4 linked regions of the Arabidopsis thaliana genome follow. The protein of the gene in region 1 interacts with the protein of each later gene in a pairwise test. Each region holds a gene or a part of one and is shown on either strand. Other genes may lie near its edges. The genes, in order: AT5G42220, AT2G19080, AT3G53980 and AGP5.

Evidence for each region.
Region 2: the proteins of AT5G42220 (region 1) and AT2G19080 interact in a two-hybrid assay, tested with the Arabidopsis thaliana proteins (one large-scale study listed by BioGRID).
Region 3: the proteins of AT5G42220 (region 1) and AT3G53980 interact in a two-hybrid assay, tested with the Arabidopsis thaliana proteins (one large-scale study listed by BioGRID).
Region 4: the proteins of AT5G42220 (region 1) and AGP5 interact in a two-hybrid assay, tested with the Arabidopsis thaliana proteins (one large-scale study listed by BioGRID).

Annotation. Positions count from the first base shown.
Region 1 is NC_003076.8:16,870,173-16,878,435, reverse strand, and holds AT5G42220 (Ubiquitin-like superfamily protein), read right to left. Parts: upstream 6,199-8,263; 5' UTR 5,942-6,198; intron 5,480-5,941; 5' UTR 5,475-5,479; coding exon 5,346-5,474; intron 5,252-5,345; coding exon 5,134-5,251; intron 4,830-5,133; coding exon 4,731-4,829; intron 4,639-4,730; coding exon 4,523-4,638; intron 4,429-4,522; coding exon 4,342-4,428; intron 4,167-4,341; coding exon 3,972-4,166; intron 3,885-3,971; coding exon 3,815-3,884; intron 3,743-3,814; coding exon 3,588-3,742; intron 3,457-3,587; coding exon 3,292-3,456; intron 3,215-3,291; coding exon 3,143-3,214; intron 3,072-3,142; coding exon 2,954-3,071; intron 2,877-2,953; coding exon 2,634-2,876; intron 2,561-2,633; coding exon 2,412-2,560; intron 2,329-2,411; coding exon 2,137-2,328; intron 2,016-2,136; coding exon 1,485-2,015; intron 1,261-1,484; coding exon 1,123-1,260; intron 1,044-1,122; coding exon 981-1,043; 3' UTR 959-980; exon of another isoform or gene 704-958; intron 335-703; and 2 more. Other genes in the region: AT5G42210 (Major facilitator superfamily protein), read right to left, coding at 7,868-7,936.
Region 2 is NC_003071.7:8,260,745-8,266,041, forward strand, and holds AT2G19080 (metaxin-like protein), read left to right. Parts: upstream 1-1,955; 5' UTR 1,956-2,073; coding exon 2,074-2,233; intron 2,234-2,787; coding exon 2,788-3,122; intron 3,123-3,224; coding exon 3,225-3,301; intron 3,302-3,389; coding exon 3,390-3,450; coding exon of another isoform or gene 3,451-3,528; exon of another isoform or gene 3,529-3,560; coding exon 3,561-3,705; intron 3,706-3,832; coding exon 3,833-4,002; 3' UTR 4,003-4,394; downstream 4,395-5,297. Other genes in the region: SHT (spermidine hydroxycinnamoyl transferase), read right to left, coding at 251-1,214; AT2G19090 (DUF630 family protein (DUF630 and DUF632)), read right to left, coding at 4,434-5,157, 5,244-5,297. UniProt on the Arabidopsis thaliana protein: Involved in transport of proteins into the mitochondrion.
Region 3 is NC_003074.8:19,986,706-19,990,081, forward strand, and holds AT3G53980 (Bifunctional inhibitor/lipid-transfer protein/seed storage 2S albumin superfamily protein), read right to left. Parts: upstream 1,759-3,376; 5' UTR 1,499-1,758; coding exon 1,171-1,498; intron 1,072-1,170; coding exon 1,055-1,071; 3' UTR 857-1,054; downstream 1-856. Other genes in the region: AT3G53970 (proteasome inhibitor-like protein), read left to right, coding at 1-53, 175-255, 355-427; AT3G53990 (Adenine nucleotide alpha hydrolases-like superfamily protein), read right to left, coding at 2,953-3,031.
Region 4 is NC_003070.9:12,915,251-12,918,618, forward strand, and holds AGP5 (arabinogalactan protein 5), read left to right. Parts: upstream 1-1,819; 5' UTR 1,820-1,933; coding exon 1,934-2,335; 3' UTR 2,336-2,579; downstream 2,580-3,368. UniProt on the Arabidopsis thaliana protein: Proteoglycan that seems to be implicated in diverse developmental roles such as differentiation, cell-cell recognition, embryogenesis and programmed cell death.

The sequences.
Region 1 (8,263 bases):
ATTCATTTTTCGCTCAATTTGGATGAAATACAAACGTTGCAATATCTTGGTGAACCATTTGAGATTTATTTTAGAAAATCTCGAACTTGGGTCCTAATAATAATTAAAAATTTAGTCTTTTTCACTCTAGAAAAGTCATAAGTAAGAAAAATTAGCGATGAAACAATTATTTGCAAAACTCATCACAAAAGACAGCTTGTCTTAGGAATGTTCATGATCTCCGATGTCGCTAAGTCATGGCTCGCTGATCTTGAAAATCTCTGAACCCATGATGTTTTAGTTCAATTTTGTCGTCATCCTTAATTTTTCCGGTGGTGATCAATTGTTCACAACCCTTGAATACGTAAAACCATAAAACAAATTTTAATAATCTTTTAGAAATTAAATATAAAATAAAACAATATTATTAATTTGTCATAATCCAAAATTATAAATTTGTACAACAAAACAAACACAACAACTTTGTAATTTTAAACATATTAAAAATTCATAGTAAATTTTATAATATATAATTTTTTATAAAAATTAAATAATATATAACATCTTATTATTGGGGTTGTCGTGACAGTTCATTTTTCTGAATTATTCTACTATTTATTAGTTTACATTCCATATTTATTGTGCAATCTTTATTACCTATTTGTTAAGGAATTAAACTAAATATATAATTTGCTACAGTCACTCGTTAGTGTAGCCCTTTAGCCAAATTTTCGATCAAAACCAAAATTGTCAGTTATAAAGGGACACCTTTTTCCCAAGTAATTTGGTCAATGTCGAGAGTTATGAGTAATCTCTGGTTAAAGATGGAAATATCAAATTGAATCGGCCCTTTAGAGACCAGATAAATTACGTTTGCTTATGTTTAGCAGAGTATAGACCATCCCAAACCCTAATTCTTAATACATAAGTGAGGGATCTCAGCAAATAAACAAAGATACTTCAAAGATATGACACTTACAGAACCAATTCAACCAAATATCTTATAGACCTTGATCATCTTTTAGCCGGCCTTCGATATCACGTCTTAGCAACTCCGCATATTCCTGCAACACTCAAATACAAGTCTGATCAAGGAGTCTTTATTTTTATTAAACAAACAAACTAGTCAGTTTTGATGCTTACTTGAGAAAGAGCTTCATCACAGCAAAGCTCGTTCACTAGTTCGTCTTGGCTTATCGCAGCATTTTCGACCATTGCACGGAAGACATCCTCTGGTGGATCAGAGTGCTCAATCATTTGAGCCATGGATTGAACATTTACCTATTTGGAAAAAGTAGAAAAATAACATTCATTACACGAGATAGAACAAGAGACAATGACGTTTATTGTAATACCTAGGTAAGAATGGTGTTACTTTTTCTACAACTAAAAAAAGACAACAACAAAATCCTACTCAGTCGATAATAGTATCAGTTTTTCTTCAGCCACATTTTTTTCCTAAATCAAAAACGCAAGAAATCCAAACCTAACACTCGTAGATGTACCTGAGAAGGTTGACGATCATCAGGCTGTATTGTTGCGGGATGAGGCAATGGCCCTCCTTGGCTAAAAGCACGTGAGACTAGAGGCATCATTTGTTGGACCATTCTAGAGAAATCAAAGCCGCCGCCCTCGCCTTGAGCTCCACCTGACATCATATTTTCTATCTCTTGCCCATCCACCTGTTGCGCAATCTGTTGGACTGTGTTCATGATCTGTGGATTCTGGGTAAACTGCTGGAGCATATTTCTCAGCATATTTGGTGAATCAACACCAGCTTGTCGAGATACCCCTGCTAGCAATCCATCCAATACAGGGCTCTCCAGGACCTGAGACATTGCACTTGAGACATCTACACGATCATCTGAACCTTGCCCGCGTCTAAGACCAGTCTCATCTGAACGAGAACTACCAGAAAAGAGAGATTGCAAAAGCTGCTGACCACTGGTCCCACTGCTTTGTTGCACACCTTCAAGTGTAGCTGAAGTCCCGCTATCTTCAGTCTTACCTGATACCTTCGGCTGCTTGCTTCGTTTCTTTAACCAAAAAAAACATACTATGACTGTAAGCATTTGGAACTATGACACTTGTGGATATGCTATGCAATGAAAAACAAGCAGCAGCAACTTGACGCTTATTTTTCAACTGATTCATTACCTTACGGTCTAAACCGCCAAGCCCCAATCCAAGTGGTGTAGCTGTAGCTACCTCTGGAGTAGCCTTATTGGTTTCTTTGGCATCACCGGTAGCATCTCCAGACGGAGCTGATGATTGTCCTGTAGTACAAGAGGTATCTTTTGCTCGGGCTGGATGCTCTAAATCTCCACCAAGATCTTTTTCATTTTGACACTGGTTGAAAAAACAAAAATTAGTGGTAGGCTAACCCTGGTGAACATAAAATAAAGAATCATCTGATTGCAGAGAAGACATACCACTGAGTTGCTCCTCTCAGATGGTAAGTCATGCAGTGAGCCACTAGACGACTCAGGTGCGCAAGTAGTTGCAATGTTGGTAGGCTGCTCAGGCATAGCAGTGGCAACACCATGGCCCGTAGACATATCCCTCTCGAGAGATTCTATTCCTGATTGACACGTGAAGAAGAGCTTGAAAACATTTCGTCCACAATGTAAAACTTTAGTCAGCAGGAAACCTACCCGATGGAATCTGGTCTCTTCCTTGCATAATGTTTACCATATCTCTTATCCTTGCATTGATTTGAGCAACTGAAACATCATCACCCAAACCAGGTTGAACCCCAGCAGAAACGTTCTCACCGGTAGAGTGTGATGGAACAGCCGCAGGAACTGAACTTGTATTGCTGTCACGGTCTCCTTGTCCTCCTTCTCCATTGCTTCGCTGGTTCCCAACTGATGACAACATAGGTGAACCTGATGTGCCTGGTAATTAAGTATGAATTTTAATGGAGAAGAATTGTGCAGCTAAGTCCAATAGCAAAAAAGTGAACTTCACCCACCAGCATGTATGTGAATATTAATGTGCCTTTGGGCAGTTCCTAAACCAACAGGTCCGGTTAGTGGATTTGATGAGACAGTAGCACCAGTAAAGAGAGGGCTGATTTGGTGAGGAAAAGGCTGCAAAATACAGTAATAATTACATAAAAGTAGAAAATTAATTTAGAAAAAAGATGAGACTAGAAGCTTACCTGAACCATAATAGGATTCGGTCCTGATGGAGATATATACACAGCAGGCCCTGCATTCACATAGGATAATTCCTGTAGATCAAAGTGTTAATGAGCCGCATGTCAAGAATGAATAGGAAAATGCACGAAAGGAATGACCCAAAACGCACCGGCGACGGTGCCATTCTCAATGTCAAAATTGTGCGTCCAAGCTCCAGTAGGAGGGCCCCTAAATGTTGCATGGCAAGACCTACTTGCACGGCCTCTGTCTGGATTTGTGACCTTAGAGTAGGATCTGAAGATGAACCATCTTGCTCCAGACGTCCCGCAATATGCTACAACAATGTTTTTGCAAATTACAAACAGCACATAATTAGATGACAATGCATGGTAACCATATACATAACAGTTCTTGTAAAGAGAAAGAATGGAATCAATTAATAAGCAGTGTGAAGAAGGTGTTTACCGATAAAGAAGAGACACCGAGACCACTCAGTAAATGTTGTGCATTCCTTAGGACAACAGAGAGTGCTTCAGGTGTTGCTGCACCTCGTCTATTTCTAGGCAACTCTTCCCTTGGTCGCCCTCCGGATCCAGCAGAAGAGGTATCTGGCTGATAGCCTGGAGGAACATCCAATTAACTTATTTATGTGTTCTCTATCCAATATGACAATAAAACTTAGATCACAATACCATTTTGTGATAATGCCTGCTCCATCCGATTAATGAACTCCATTAGAGTGTCTAAGGAATCCGGAATAGGCTGCAGAATTAGAGAGTTACATTGTAAAATGACAAGATTAAAGCTCTAGTCTCAAGATCAAAATACTACTACGTGACTAAGAACTACCGTTAAGAATGAAGGGATAGGAATCGTTGTGGCTGCTGTAACAGGAATCTGAACTACACGAGGCATCGATGTTTGAAATGATACACCAGGAAATGCTTGCCTAGGTTGTGAATGACCCGTAGCTTGGCTTTGACCACCAATGCCAGGCTCTCCATCAGATGTATTTCCAGGAGGTGCATTAGACGACTGATTCGACTAGGAAAAATAAAAGCGCATGCAACATCGAGTTTAGAAACAGGCAATAGTTGATGACAATATGAAACCTTACACATCAAATAGTAACAACACCTGATTCTCAACAATCCTTAATGTAGACTAAGCACTAATATGGAATAAATTCGAAATAGAGAGTGACGAGAAAAAAACTCACGGGCATAGAGGATTGCGTGCCATTAGTACTGTGATTTGTAGGAAGCTGTCCACTAACTCCAAAAGAATTTAGAACTGCTCCAATGACCTTAGTAGTTAGCAACACAAAATTAAAAGCAGGTTAGCCTAACTAATCAAACCATCCCATAGGCCAAACAATATCACAAATCCTTGGGGATTACCCGGCTGAGGTCTGGAACAATGCCTTCTGTCTGATCTCCAACATTAAAAGACCCAAGAACTACGCTGTGGGAGACATGTCTTCCATTTCGAGATGGTCCACCATTTGTATTATTTCCTGTTGAATTAAATAACAAGTTGAAATAAGATGATGGTTGTGTTAACAGCTCTTTTAAAACTCAGAAAGGGGATAAAAAATAACTTGATTACCATCATTTGCAGTTGCCCCTTGTGAAGGTGTACCAGAGGAAGGAGCTGATTCTGCTGGCTGCCTCACAATCAAGTGTAAAGTATGCCCATTTTCCAAATCTATGACGATGTCAAGTTATCAACTATACTGAAAGTAGAAAAGCGATGGAAGGAAACGACAGACATAAACTAAAACTAAGCTTATCGAAGGTATATATATATATATAGTTCTCTTTCTGGATTACAGCTTCCTCTACGGTGTAAGACTCACAAAAGCAGAGATGCACTTGATCAATCAAAAACTAGACTTCCGACAGATTTGGTTAACATGCATTTTATACACAGGGCACATGGCATAATGCAACAAACAGCTACACTATAACATAAAATCAACAAGTTAACAAAGTCGCTAGCACTAGGATACGATACTCCGAGAGAGGATGATCATCTTTCAAAACCCGTCCTCGGAAAATGAGCCGCTGCTGACCAACCGGCACCCCTGTCTCACTAGCAATCTTCTCCTTGAATAGCAAAACAGTTTCCTGCAACAAGTCAAGCCCTAAGCAGTATCAGATATAAGCAAACTAAACTTAAGCAAATATGCAGGTGAAGCAGAAGAAGAAGAAGATTTCTTACATTCTTGTTCACTTGGAAAGTATACGTCCGCGAGTCTAACGTTTTGATGTTAAGCTCAAGGGTTGATTCTGGAGTTTTCTCCGACGCATTGGTGCTACTAGAGCACTGGTTAATGGGTTGATCTTCCATGAACCCTAAAGTATTAAAATTTAAAAAACATAAAGCTTGTAAATTCATCTTACAAAAGAATGATCTCATAATAAACAATATTATCTCTAGGGTACTCAAATCAAAACCTTTACCACACACATTTCCAGATATTGATCATACAAAACAGAATCAACAATGAGACACAAACAAATGACATAACTAAATGCTAGTCATTGTAACAAAAGACCAAATCCTATATATATGCAAGTCATTGTAATAAAAATGCTAAAAATCAAAAACTTTCACCATCCAAAGCCACAAACAAAAGACCCAGACCCAAATAAATGCAAGTCATTGTAATATCACTGTTCAAAAATCAAAACTTTCACCGTCCAAACCCAAAAACAAATCTGCTAAGGCAAAAACAGAGCCTATAGATACGGAAAAAAAGGATCAAGATTTAAGAAAAAAACAATCAAATTCCATGAAGGCAACGAAGAACGAACCTATTTGCCGTCGTGGGGTATTGAAAAATTGAAACTTTGGCGGAACAAAAGACTCTCCGATTGAAATCTAGAGAAGTATCTCAAAGTTGAAACACGAAACCAAACCTGATGTGTTCAGAGTTAAAGGGGAAGAACAAGGGCGATTGTGTCGGGAACTCGGGATTTTGGTGAAATTGAAAAGAAAAAGAAGAATCTAGAGGAGGAAGATACAACGACGACGTTTTGAAAACCTGAATTGACGCTTCCGCGAATATAGGCCTAGTCTCCGCTCTAAATGTGGACTCTTCTATTAATAATATAAAGCTGGGCCTGGCCTTTTTAACCATATCTAAAATAAATTTTAAACATGTGCTTCTTTTTCTGTTTTATTATGTAATTTTGATTTCTAATATTTAAGTATTTAAGTTTACACATAACTGGATTAATCATGAAGATTATGGTTTACATATAACTGAAACGAATCTATGTTATTGTTGTCGTTAATAATGGTTATTATTTTATTATTTTTTGTCATCAAATTATATTAATGTTCAAATGAGTCAACTTTAGAAAAAATTGTTTACATATATGAAGCGATTCAGTACGAATTTTTCGTGCCAAAGTATTCGTTCTAACATTTGCAGTATAAGAGATTAGAGATAGAAACAAGCTTGAGATTTTTTTATTGTCACTCAGGCAAATCTTTCAAAATTGTAGAATACACCGGCCATTAGGTTAGGGAAAACACTATATTCATTAGGTTTGAACAGTCTGTGAAAAACACTACATGTTGGTTATGTGTCGAAAGATCATTTAAAGTTTAGTCTGACAATTTTGCGGCAGTGTATATGCAAACAACAACAAAAGTAGAACAATCAAAGCATATAGACATAGAGTGTCATATTGTGTGAGAAAGGATTCAAGATGATGTGGTTTCAGTTAAGCATATAGGTAGAAATTTCATGAAAGCGGATCCGTTAACTAAAGGTATTCCACCTAAAGTTTAGTCCACATTATTAGTTAAAATACAAAAACAACTAGATTTTAACCTGTGGTATACCGCGGGAACAATTTATTTTTTAAAGTTAGTATATATAAAAGTTTACAAATTGTATCTATCTATAAAATAATTTTATTTTATAGTTTACAAATGTTATTAAGTATCGTCCTGTCAAACCCGTCCTGTAAAAAAAAAACTATTTATTTTATTAATGTTGATCTTATTTATGATATGTTTATGAATCATTGTCTAAATATTTTGTAATTTTGTAGTAATTAAATGCTATCAGATTATATCTCTGCGCTTTGATGATTATAATCGAATTGTTATAGTTATGGAGAAAATCAATATCAAAAATGATAATTTTGTAGTAATTAAATGATATTAAATATTTTGGAAGTATTATTTTAGTAAATAATCGTGTAGTTAATGTGGAGATATTTTGGGAAGATTGTTAAATGTCAAATATTTAATTCGAATATTTTCTTTTTAATTATCAAAAACAAACATTAAAATCCAGTGGCAGCCATTGTAAATAAGTCACAACTAAAGGATTTATTTCACAAAATGGCTGCAAAAATGTATATATAGATTATAATAAAACATGTTTCAATTATGTCTATATATACAAAAATAATTATGATGTATATAAATAAATTTAATGATACAAATATTGGAGCTATTTTGTTGCTTTAGACAACTAAACTAACTTTGAACTCAAAAAAAGAAAGAAGATATCTAAATTAACTGAAACGGCCATTAAATATGGTGTTTCCCCTAGGAGTTATTGACTAACCTATACAAGCTATTGGTGTCTTGCTGACTTTAGATATCATAAACCCGTACACAATATGGGTTAAAAAAAAACATCAAGGATTCGACCAATGCAATTAAAACCTGTATATTATCTTTCACTACGAAATCCATATGGTTTTGAGGAAACTGTGTTATGGAGATCCCATAACTGATATTGGTGTTGCTGCTCTGATCATCAGGCTTTGGATGAAAGCTATAGTCTACAAAGAAAAACAAAGTAACGGACATTATATATATTATTTTTCTTAGTAATCGAACAACTCATATAACTTTGAGGAATCAATTAAAAGGTTTATATGTTTCACATACATTGTCATATAACTAAATGTTAAACCAAAAAAAAAAGAACTGAATGAGTTAGTGATTTTTCATGGGAAATTAGATAAGATTTAAAGTTTCCTTTTTGCACAACCAACAACAGCATTCGTTGTGAATTAGATAAGAGTATGAAAACTAAGAAAGTAAAAACTAATTAAAAGGATAACGTTCCTTTCTTGGTTTAACCGGACATTTATTTGTATAGTTTC
Region 2 (5,297 bases), on another chromosome or scaffold:
TCATAAAAGAGTCGTTTTGACGGTCTTTTGACACGAATTCTAAGATAAACAAATTACAATATTTTGTAATATTTTTGAATTGAAAAAAATTAATAAATAAATAATATATATAATTGGAATATAAAAGTAATGAACAAAATCATAATTTTTGTTTAGAGGACTAAATTAAATTTTGAAGAAGTGTATTCAAATTCACAAAACAAACAAAATTTCTATGGATAGTAATAGAAAAGAAAGAAAAAACACGTACCTGAGGTGCTTGCTGCGACCACGTCAAGAGTAGCATTGCCGAAGTAGCCGCGTGGCAGAGGTGGCTCCATCCGACTACGAGTATCTATACAGATTCCTAGAGCCGTTGGTTGCTCCGGAGAGTGGCCACGTGCTTTACACGCGCACCTCCACACGTGTCCGGTGACGGTCTCGTACCTTGTAAACCCTTTCGCCGGGTCAGAGTGTTTGCTTCCGTTGGCTTTACTTCGTAGCTTCTGCAGCTGAGATGTGCTCAGTGGTAGCATCACCACAATCGTTTTCTTCTTTCTCTCTTCTACATTGTCCGTTTCTCCGATCAAAAACGGTGGCTGATCAAACTCTTTGTGGTCGAACTTTGGGGGCGACACAAACGGTGGGAGCGGTTCACCAGCCCAGAGGATTTTCCGGTCTAGAAATGGAACGGTTTCTAACGGTTCACCGCGCGCGAGTCTTCCCCATTCCGATATTAAGTGAAGCGCGCTTTGGCCATCTACGATCGCGTGGGAAACGTTGACGCTAAGGCTTATTCCACCGCATTTGAATTTGGTTACCTGAGCTAAAAATAGAGGAATCGTTTCGATAGGGTTTTTATAGTTTACTTGCGGCATAAGATTCTCGAATTCCGGCGTAGGAGAGAAGTCTTTGAAATCCGAAAGCTTCCCCTCAGATTCCGCTTCAATGAATTCCACTCCCTCGGCGTTACAATTGAGCTCGAACCGTCCCCGAGGGAGCCATCTGAGACGGCCAGCCATAGGGTAAAAATGGACTAGCACACGGCTCAACGAGGTTTTTAGGATTTCGACTACATTGCCTTGGAAAGATTCAGATGGCTTGTCGTAAAAGTAAAGGGTGGGAATGTGAGTAATTGTACCAACTTGATCCCACTCGGCTAAGGGAAACCTACCGCTCCACGTTGGTTCGGCCGGTACTATAGTGTAAGATTTTCTAAAAGTTATGGGAGCCATAACACAAACCCCCTTTCTTTTTCTCTTCTCTTTTTGAAGTTCGTGCTAAAGTAATGTTTATATAGTACACAGAATCATATGGATTCAACGAATTTTTCTTGCTGTTAGTCAAAATTCAAAAATGTTTTTCTCGTGGTTTAGTTTGTTTCCTTCGAAGCAGCTTAATTAGTGGAAGTGAGAATAAGGTTTAGTTTTGTTGGTTGTATATGATCACGCGTATTACCCTTCTTCTCTATTTTGTTCACATTGTGGATGAATATATATTTCCACGAAAAAATGAAAAAAAACGAGGTAAGAACATATAACATAAAATTCATATCACTATTAGGGAATGTGTTATACTTTTTTATGCAAGTATATTCCAAAGTATAAATTCTAAACTAAATCCTTAAGTATATATCATAAACTCTAAAAAGAAATGGTAAATCCAAAATACTAACTTCATAGCATTAAATTCAAAAGCCCACATCGCCAGTTTTGATTATATCTTCTGAATTTAAGTTGAGTTTATTTTTATAAAGTCATCTTGAAGAAAAAAAATGTGGATGATGTATTTTACACTGTTACACAGTAATTTTAGTTTTTACAAACTAACAAAAAGGAGAAAACAATTCCACTTTCTCCGAGTCTCCTCCTCCAGTAGTTTTGTCTTAATGGGTAATTTGTGGGCCTTTTAAAGCCCAAAATGAGTTATCGTATTAATAAACCCTAGTTTTAAACCCGACCGACTAAACCTTAACCCAGACCCGGACTCGACTGGATCTTCTCTTCTCGCCCCATCTCTCTCTATCGACGATCGAACTTACTTGAGTACTTCTTCTTCTTTTGACCAGAGCTCTCACACATACGAGTCACTATAATGGAAGGCGATCAAGAGACGAATGTTTATACTTTGGTGGCAAGGAAGCCTTCCTTCGATCTCCCAACAGCTTGCCCTAATTGTCTTCCTGCTTATATATACCTGAAATTAGCCCAGCTACCTTTTGAACTTGCGTTCAATTCAACCTTCCCTGATTCAGGTTTGCTTCTGTTTTGATTCCTCGCTTCGTATTTTGGTTGTTGTTAGATTAAGGTTTTGGTTGCGTGATGTGTATCTGTTGGAAGTGAACATTGTTAATTCTATTAGCTTGAATTGAGATTCGAATCCTAGACAAGATAATTTTGAGTTCTGGATTCGAATTCGTACTATTAAGATCCTGCTCTTAGGTTAATCAGAGTTTAGATAGGGTTTTTAGGCAATAGTAATTCAATTTTGAGGTGTATATATGCATTGGTGAATTTTTCTGGATAGGAAGTGTTCATCATAATTTCTTGTTATAGCTTTGGTTGAATTCCTCGTTATCGTAATTGTTAATTCGAAGAGAATGATGATGTTTCATACTTGTTCAGAAGAAATTAGTTGTTTGATTTAGCTATTGAGTTTGTATATTAACAATATCTTCAGAATTTCTATGTTATGTTTGATAATATCTCTAGACACTTCGTAATCCTTTGTTCACGGATTTACAAATTTGTGCATTCAATATTTATAAGCTTGTGTATTGACAATGTTAATCATTTGTTTTTAATATAGATGAACTGCCGTACTTTGAAAGTGATACATATGTTGCATATAACAATGAAGATGGAGGAGTAATTGAAAAACTGAAGAAAGATGGGATTGTTAATCTGGACTCTCAGCTACAGTCTCTTTCGGATTATTTATCTTTGAAGGCTCTTATTGTGTCTTGGCTAGAAGAAGCGCTTACCTATGAGATATGGGTTGGTACCGAGGGGATATCTACATCGAAAATCTACTATTCAGATCTTCCTTGGGTGATCAGCAAGGTCCTGTTTTATAAGCAGACATACTTGGCAAAGAACCGTTTAGGAATCACCAAAGAGAACGCAGAGCAAAGAGAAAAACAGGTCGGGTTTGTTTAAGTTTTGTTGTTACTTTAGAAGACCTGTGGTTTATATTTGTGAGCATTTGAACTAGTTATTAAAGTTCATAGTCTTAAATGTGAACAGATATACAAGAGAGCAAGTGAGGCATATGAAGCTTTGTCGACTAGGTTAGGTGAGCAGAAGTTTCTCTTTGAAGACAGGTATTGCAATCACATTCCGGAACTGGATTCTTTCCCTTAAGCCTTTTTGTAAAAGATTGACAATGTTTATATTATTCTCTTCCCACAGGCCATCGAGTTTGGATGCTTTCTTACTCTCGCACATACTTTTTATAATCCAAGCGTTACCAGTGAGCAGCTTTAAATTTCACCAATATATTTCTCAGTTATGGGTTTATCAGGTTGAATTTAGCCTTAGAACTATTTAGATGAAGTAGTTTTCTTAATGGTGCATGATCAGGTTACATCAGTGCTTCGGTGCAAACTTCTGGAACATAGTAATCTTGTGCGATATGCTGAGAAACTTAAGTCAGAGTTCCTTGAAGCCTCTTCTTCATCTCCTTCACCTCCACTTCACTCATTCCCTTCCTCATTTCCAAGAAAGAGTAAGACACATCTAACCTTCAACGTCCATATCATATATATTTCATCATATTATATATCTGTCATATATGCAACATTCATTGGATATGTTTAAGCCTGTGAAGGAAGTGAATTTCATCTTTTGTTCAGGTTCGAAGCCAAAGAGCAAACCAAAGGTAGAAAAGACCGAAGAGGAGAAAAAATTTAAGAAAAGAGCAAGGTTCTTTCTAGCTGCTCAGTTTCTAGCTGTCGTCATTTACGTATCAGTGATGGGAGGAGGTAGTTCTGATGAACTGGAGTATGAAGATGAAGATGACTAAACTAAAGCTTTTCTTATTAAATGGACCGGTAACTCTCAGGCGAACTCTCTGAGACTAAGATAAAAACATAACCAGTAATCTCTACGCTTTTTTCTTCTTGAACTCTTAGTTATGGAGAGGATACAGATGTGAGATTTAGTCACATTATAATGGTTTTCGACTTTTCGTTCTGAAGGAGAGCTTTTGGCTTTTATATAAATTTCATTGGTTTTTAAGGCACATCATGGGAACCGATTCACCGGATAAAATACCGAGGAACATTAGAAGACTCTTGGTACACATCCTCAGAATCAACTGAACTAACTCTATTTGTCTTACTAAATAATACAAATCTCATCCATCTAAGAAACTATCTTCTGATAGCAAAAGATGATGCCAAAAACCTACCTAATTCTAAACTCTCTAAAACCAAACAAAATTAATAACAAGTACTAGGAATTGAAATTTACATCCGGGGGCTGCTGCTCCGACGCATCGTCTGCTGGTTGGCTAACAAGCTTCGAGTGTTCATCGGCCGAGTTGATGGAAAACTCAGCTAGTGAACTAACTGCAACAGACATTCCATGGCAGAGAACCTTCACAGCAACCTCTGCAAGTTTCTCAGCAGTCATCACAACATCTTCTTCTCCCTTATCAGCCACTACAAGCTCCATGCTTTCTGACCCGGAGTATCTCCTTGACCCGCTTCCACTCCAGTTTGGATCTTCCCTAACTTGCCTTGCATATATTGAACCCATCCCTGAGGCAAAGAACTCAAGTTTGTCCAAAACTGGTTTTTCATTCAAGCTGTTAAGCAACCTTGACCATTGAATGCAGACTCGGTATATCGGGTGAAGACATGAGGATAATCTAACTTTTTCGGGGTCAGGATCACATCTGAAACATCTTAGAAGCCAACCAGATAATGCTTTCATGTAGGATCTCTGAGAGGTGATCCAGAATTCAAAACAGGTTCTCCAGTTTCGAAGCTGAGCTTCAAGATTCAAAGCAGATTGAGCTAATCTTTGAGAGTTAATAGCCTCTGGCATTATTGGAGGTTGTCTCTTCTTGTGACGCTTTGAAACCGGTGTGCCTGCAAGTAACAGTTTGGCTTCGTCTAGTGTTCGTTTCTGTATCTGGTGACTTTCCGCCATTACTTTCCACATCCTTGTTAATCTGTTATGATCATGATTACCATTTGTCAGTCTGAGGCTTAAAAGTGAAACCGAAGAGAAGGAAAAAGAAGTTGTTGGTGTTGTTACCCTTCAACGAGCTCAAGAAGCTGAGGCAACAGTTCTTGGTCACGAAGAGTCTCG
Region 3 (3,376 bases), on another chromosome or scaffold:
TTCCCATTTGGTGATGGTTCTGATCGACCTGGCTTCATGGGACCACCACACCCGTAAAATCACTCTTTCTTTCACACACACATAGAGATACACAGCCATAGATTTGAACACATGAAAAGCTCTCTAAATTGTTTCTGACAAGTTACCATGGATTTTTGTTTGTGGTTTTGACAGGGGTATGCCACCTCCTGGTGCGCGTTTTGATCCTTATGGTCCACCCGGTGTTCCAGGTTTTGAGCCAGGCCGGTTCACAAGGTAGTAATCTTATGCACTCAGTAGTCTCCTTACTACACTCCACAATCATAATCTGTTTCGCAAATGGTTCTGATTCTTCTTTATATCAATCGTGTGTAGACAACCTCCAAGAGGGCCAGGAGGTGGGCATCCAGACCTCGAGCATTTTCCCGGCGGTTCAGATTTTATATAGTAAAGTAAAGCCATCGCCAAGGAAATAGAGAAAGTGTGTGCACAACTTAAAGTATGGTAGTAACTACATATAGACAATAGGATCTATGTGGTTTGTTTTTTCTCAGCTGTTTTTTTGTTTGGTGGTGTTGTTGGTTTTATTCCCCAGCACACTTTTTATAACTTCAATAAATATATAAATAAAGACTTGGTTTATTTCGCTTTTAAATTTCCGTTGGCCAAGTCAGAATCGGTCGTCATATAGATTATAGACAATGGCTTGACTATATTTGAGAAATTGAAAACTATAGCATCATCTCTTATTGCTTCGTGTTAGATGAGTATATATTGGTGATAGATCTGACTTGTAAACTAAGTCGTACTAGTGTTTGCCAAAACGACACTAGTTTAAACAATGTCAAATTTTCAAGCACAAAGTTGGATACTTGTGTTTCTGTAATTTGAAATGTAGAGTGGAATCATTTTTATATATTTATTGATATAGGTTCAATAACAACAATCACACTGATACACATATAAACATTATCGTTATTCATATATTATAAGGTACATGGAGACGTAGTAGTAAACTCCAAGCTTCCACATAAGGCCCAATGTTATCTCCTTCATCCTTCTAATCGTCAACATTTTATGGAAGTGTGTATGCTATAACCAAAGGGAAAAAAAGAAACAAAGAACATTAGATATATCATGAAAATTATTAAGTAAAAGCATAATATAAAGATGTAACAGAAAGTCACTTACCTCCACACTTGTAACCGACGGGACGGTTAGCGAAATTGCACCGTTTAGGGATGGTAAGGGCAACCTCAGGATCGACACCGGAGGCTTTGGCCGTGTCGGAAAGAAGAATGGCGCAGAGACATTTAGGGTTTTGAGAAAATCTCTTAATCTGAGTACAGCAACCTCCTGGCACGGCGGAGTTAGCGTCCTGAGCTGCACCAGCACATGGAGCCAGCTTCATCGCCTCATTGTCTGGCGAAGATCTACCACACTCCCCTGCACCGTCAACGACTGTTCCGATGAGGAGAATCAGACCAAGAATGCAGAGAAATTTCATGGAAGCTGCCATTTTGTTTCTTGGAGAGATTTTAAATGAACCAAGATTTGTGTTTTTTTGTTTGTTAGTTGTGTGTTTGAATTCAATTAGTGAATGTTTGGTTTATATAGCGGAAAATTGTGTGGAAATTTGAGGCACTGAAGAGATAGTGGAATAAGCACTTGAGTTGAGTGAGGGAGGTAGTGTTCTTACCAACAACATAAGTTCCAGGTGTTGATGTCTTAGGGATCACTGAACAAACCTCATAATTCTTATTTGGGATTATCAAATCGGATGGTGGATTTGTGGGAGTTGTGTCATCACCGTCCTTATGGCTTTTAAAATGGTGCTAATGGGGTAGATTAAAAATGAGTTTTGTATTGATTTTTTTATTATTATTGGTTAATGTGAAGTGAAACGGATGAAACATTCTTGATCTCTATTTAACAACTTTGAATCTTGGATGCTTAGTATCACTAAGATGGTCCAACACTGTGTTTTAGCCTTATAGGAGAATTGAATATGTTAGACCTTCTGAGAAGAAGCTCGAATTTATTCAAGTCAAAAACCTTGTACCACAAGTTAATTACATAAGTATAAAGAGCATAGAGGATGAAAACCAAAGAGAGACAGACAACTGTGAGACTGGCTCTGTCTATCTATTGTGTTGAAAGACCAAGATTTGGGCAGAGGGTTTGGCATAAACTAAGGTAAATCAAATTCAAGGACTAAACAAAATCGGTTAATGGTTTAGTTGGGTTCGTTACAGAAGCGGATTGCGTTCTTAGTAATGTTGATAAAGTTTTTGCTCTGTTTCCGTTGAAACTAGAAATTGGGTTTCAATCCCACCGGCCCGTATAACTTCGGCCCATGGTTCTGATATTTCACTTTACTTTGTTGTTTTTCTTCTTCTGTCTTGATGATCTTCTAAACTTTCTACGATTTGTCTTGGGTCTCTGTTTCTAGTAAGTTTTATCAGATTTCGAAATGGATCGTGCAAAATAAATAAATATAATTACCACGGTGATCTATCTATTTATTAAAAAAAAAGTAGAATATTAATATTTGATGTAAATATCTTTCTGTAGAATTTTTCCTTAAGAAATATTCTAATATTTAGTCAATGATCAATGTGAATGAATCCAACCTGCCCATGTGAAATCTGTACCACAAACTTATTTTTAAGCAATATATTGGATATACAAACTATTTTTAATCGAGCCCACCACATGTTCAAGCAAATCACATGGAGTGATTCCAGCAAAACACAAGGAATATTAAATGAAACAAATAAGCAAGAAACTCTCAAAACTAGAAGATGAAAACACTCTGGGTTCTTTTTTTGTTGTAGTCAAATTACAAATAAAACCAACATAAAGATTCTTTTATTAATAAAAACTAAAAAGCATAAATTGCGATGATTATTTGGTAGGACTTATAAGATAAAGACAGTTTTTTTTTTTTTTTTTTTTTGTAGTGAGAATCGTTTATTCGTTATCCTTGACAACGGTGACAGGGCAAGGCGCGTGTTGGATCACAAAGCTGCTCACGCTTCCCATTATTATCCTGTTTCATTATTTTCAATTATTAGTCACTAGATATTTCACTTAGACCAAAAGATTAAAGTTTAGAAGAATTCATCACTAAAAGATTACCAATGATAATTGTTACGTTAAAAATATCAAGAATAAATCAAAGACAAGTGTTTATTCAAAAAAAAAAAAAAAGACAAGTGTGCTAAAAACAAAGGTGTAACCACAATCTTAAATGTTTGTTTTTTTCTTAATTATGAAATAAAGACAAAATTCAAAGTTAAAGCTAAACCTAAAACCTAATCCATAGCTAAAGCTAAATCTAAAACCTACCATTGTCATTTTCAACTAGACCTTATCCATTTCGTTGAGAAGTAAT
Region 4 (3,368 bases), on another chromosome or scaffold:
TTCGCTTATCATAAAAAAAATTGGCTTTTGTTACTTCATTTACGCGAACATTAGATCGTTCTTCGAAATGTCGTCACCTTTCTTTTGCTGACCTATAAGATTTCGTTTTTGGGTCAGCTTGTCATACTTATCGTTTCGTCTTTTAGTAGGTCTTCTTGGTAATACGTTACATCGTATATTATTGCTGTCTAGACTTTATCTCACGACTTCTTAGCATAATTGTTACTAATTTCTGTCTTCCCTTCTTAAAGTAGCTTTCTTGGTTACTTTTGAAGCTCTCTCAAAACAATAGAAGGTAGGAGACTTTTTCGTATCTTGACTAAATGTATATTCAAGATGTTCACTCTTGTTTTTACTGAAGCCTAACTGCCTAAATAGTTGACCACAAACATTGTATCGACGATACTAGAGTAACATTTGGTTCAAAATGTGTTGTTGAAATCGTTTTCGAAGAGACGTATTAACGACCTAAAGTAATGTATAAAAACTTGAGTTGAAAAGTCGAATTTGGTTCAACTTACAGTGGACTAACCCGAAAGTATTTTTTGTTACTTATATAATTATAGTTGTTCTAATTCGCTTGATGGTGGGACGGTTAATATATAATTGACACCAAACATATAAGAATTTTTGAAAAATTGCAATAACAACAAAGGCATTAGTTGCATACAATACAATGTTCAAATTATGCATTGAAAATTTGAAACAAATATACGTTAAATAGAACAGAGATCTTCTAAGAATAGTTGCAAGCCTTTAAATACTCCGACAAATCTGGCATTAGCCGAAAGATATTCCAAACTCAAAATCGGATCAGATAGTGTGGTGGTCTAATTTTACCTGGATCGGGAGATGTCCACTCTGTACCACCTTGATGCATTTTTACTGATACTGATCAGATCAACCGATATAATATATATATAAAAAAAGAAAGTTCGTCCAAAAGGAATCATTATTTTCTTAACCAATAGAATATAGGAAATAATAGGATAAATCTATATTAGTGGACAGGTAATAGAATGCTTTCATTCACATTGAAATCATATTGTAATAAGCACACTTTTCTTATCAAAAAAAAAAAGGCAAAAAGAAATGGCCACGCAATAAAATCATTAGGGTAAGTTGAATTTTGGTCCATAATATTATAAATTAATTTAATCTCGAAAGCTTAATCTTATGATCTCATGTGATCTTTATTGAATTTACTTACTTCCATAGAGTTTTGTATTTTGTCTAAGGAAAGAAAAAAAAAGTCTGCCAGCTTTGGAACGCCGCCCATTCCTCTAGACTTTCTTGGAAACAACGCGTTGTTCTTGTTGGGGTCGACGAAGACTCACTAAATCCATCCGACGACTCAGATTTTATCTTGGCTTCTTTTGATGTGTACACATATCCACCCTGATTTGATTCCCAAAGCCAAAAGCCTGAACAATGTAGTGTAGAAGAAGTGACGGGAAAAAACGGTAATGAATCCACAATGGATATTTACAGAAAGAAATAAAATTATATAGATTATAGAGAAGCAAAATTATGCAAATAATCTTTATTTAATACTATTAAAAGAGTAGCTGTTGGAAACTATAACAGGTAATTTAAAATATTTTACAAGTTCAACATATAATAATTTTGAAATTCAGTCCAACATAACTATCAGTATGGAAATAAGCCAAACAAATTACTCAAAATAAGAAATATGTTTTCACATTATTATTTAAACATTTTTAGTCATTTGTTTGGCTTATTTCCAAAACGATATTTATGTTGGACTTGTTTTCAAAAGTATTATGTTGAACTTGTAAAAAAAATTTATATAGCTGTTGAAATTTCCAAGAAAATAAGGTTTTACACCTAAACCCTTCCACTATATATATAAACCCCACTTTTGTCTCTATATCTTTACTAATTTCTTAAACCCTCTCAACAATACGTAACAATGGCCTCCAAATCCGTCGTCGTTTTCCTCTTCCTCGCTCTCGTGGCTTCCTCTGTCGTTGCTCAAGCTCCCGGACCAGCTCCGACCATATCTCCCTTGCCAGCCACTCCTACACCGTCTCAATCGCCTAGAGCCACCGCACCGGCACCTTCACCATCAGCCAATCCTCCTCCCTCAGCTCCTACCACTGCTCCTCCGGTTAGTCAGCCGCCTACTGAATCTCCACCAGCTCCTCCGACGTCTACTTCCCCATCCGGAGCTCCGGGCACAAATGTTCCGTCTGGAGAAGCTGGACCTGCTCAGTCTCCCCTAAGTGGCTCTCCAAACGCAGCTGCAGTTAGCAGAGTCTCCCTCGTCGGAACTTTCGCCGGAGTGGCCGTGATCGCCGCTTTGTTGCTGTAGAGGCTATTGACCCATCGAATAGATTCACTAGGAATTATTTTTGGGTTCATTGTTTGTCCTTTTGTTACTATTTAATTATGTAGTTTATAGTGTTTTATATGATGCTTTATTATCGTGTTATTGTTGGTGTTATATTTGTTACAATTTTTTTATAGTTTCCTTGATTATTGGCATTCTTGAATAATTCATGGTCACTTGAATAATTCATAGTTACTTGAATATTAACTTAAAATTAAAATTACATGCTAAATTGGTGGGTGGTGATGTTATTAAGATTTAAGAGTGGTTAATGAAAAGATTATGAAAGTGAAGTGATTAGCGACAACGTGTATATGCGTCTAGAATGGAGCATTTAATTTGTCGTGTGATGTAAGTTGATCGGTGTCGGACCGTTTCTTTTCTTCTTGTCTTCGTTTCCAATAAATATAGGTCAAGATCAAAACATTGACCCTTTCGTACTCGTTCGAGACTATAGTTTTAGAAATTGCAATGTAAATTAGTTTATTTTTGAAATTAATATAAGTATTTCATGATGATGGGAACTACGAAAAATAGAAAATACAATTACTGATATGAGTTAATTGAACCAATTATGATAACCATTTGTTGTATCTATGCCTTTGTTTAATTAAGCGTTAAATACAAACTAATACTGTATAATGTTTTTCTTGTTTACTACGTGAATTTTTTCATGCTTGTTCCAAGTTCGAAATACCATTTGTACAAATAAGAAGACAAGTCAAAGCAATGATTCTTGTGCTAGCTTTTTCACTGTACATGACATCCATATTTAACAAATAACAATCCTTAAAATTTAGCAATTAGAATATAGATCATATAAATATACTAGGGAACGACCCAGGCTATGTATTTAATCAAAAGTATTTCAAACGTAAATTATAACTCGTATATGTATTCGTACAAAGAATGTCAAATACAAAATATCACAAAAAATAAAGTATTTAGTCAGTTAAGCTCTAATCAACACAAATAAGTATATATATATATATATATATATATATATATATATAAT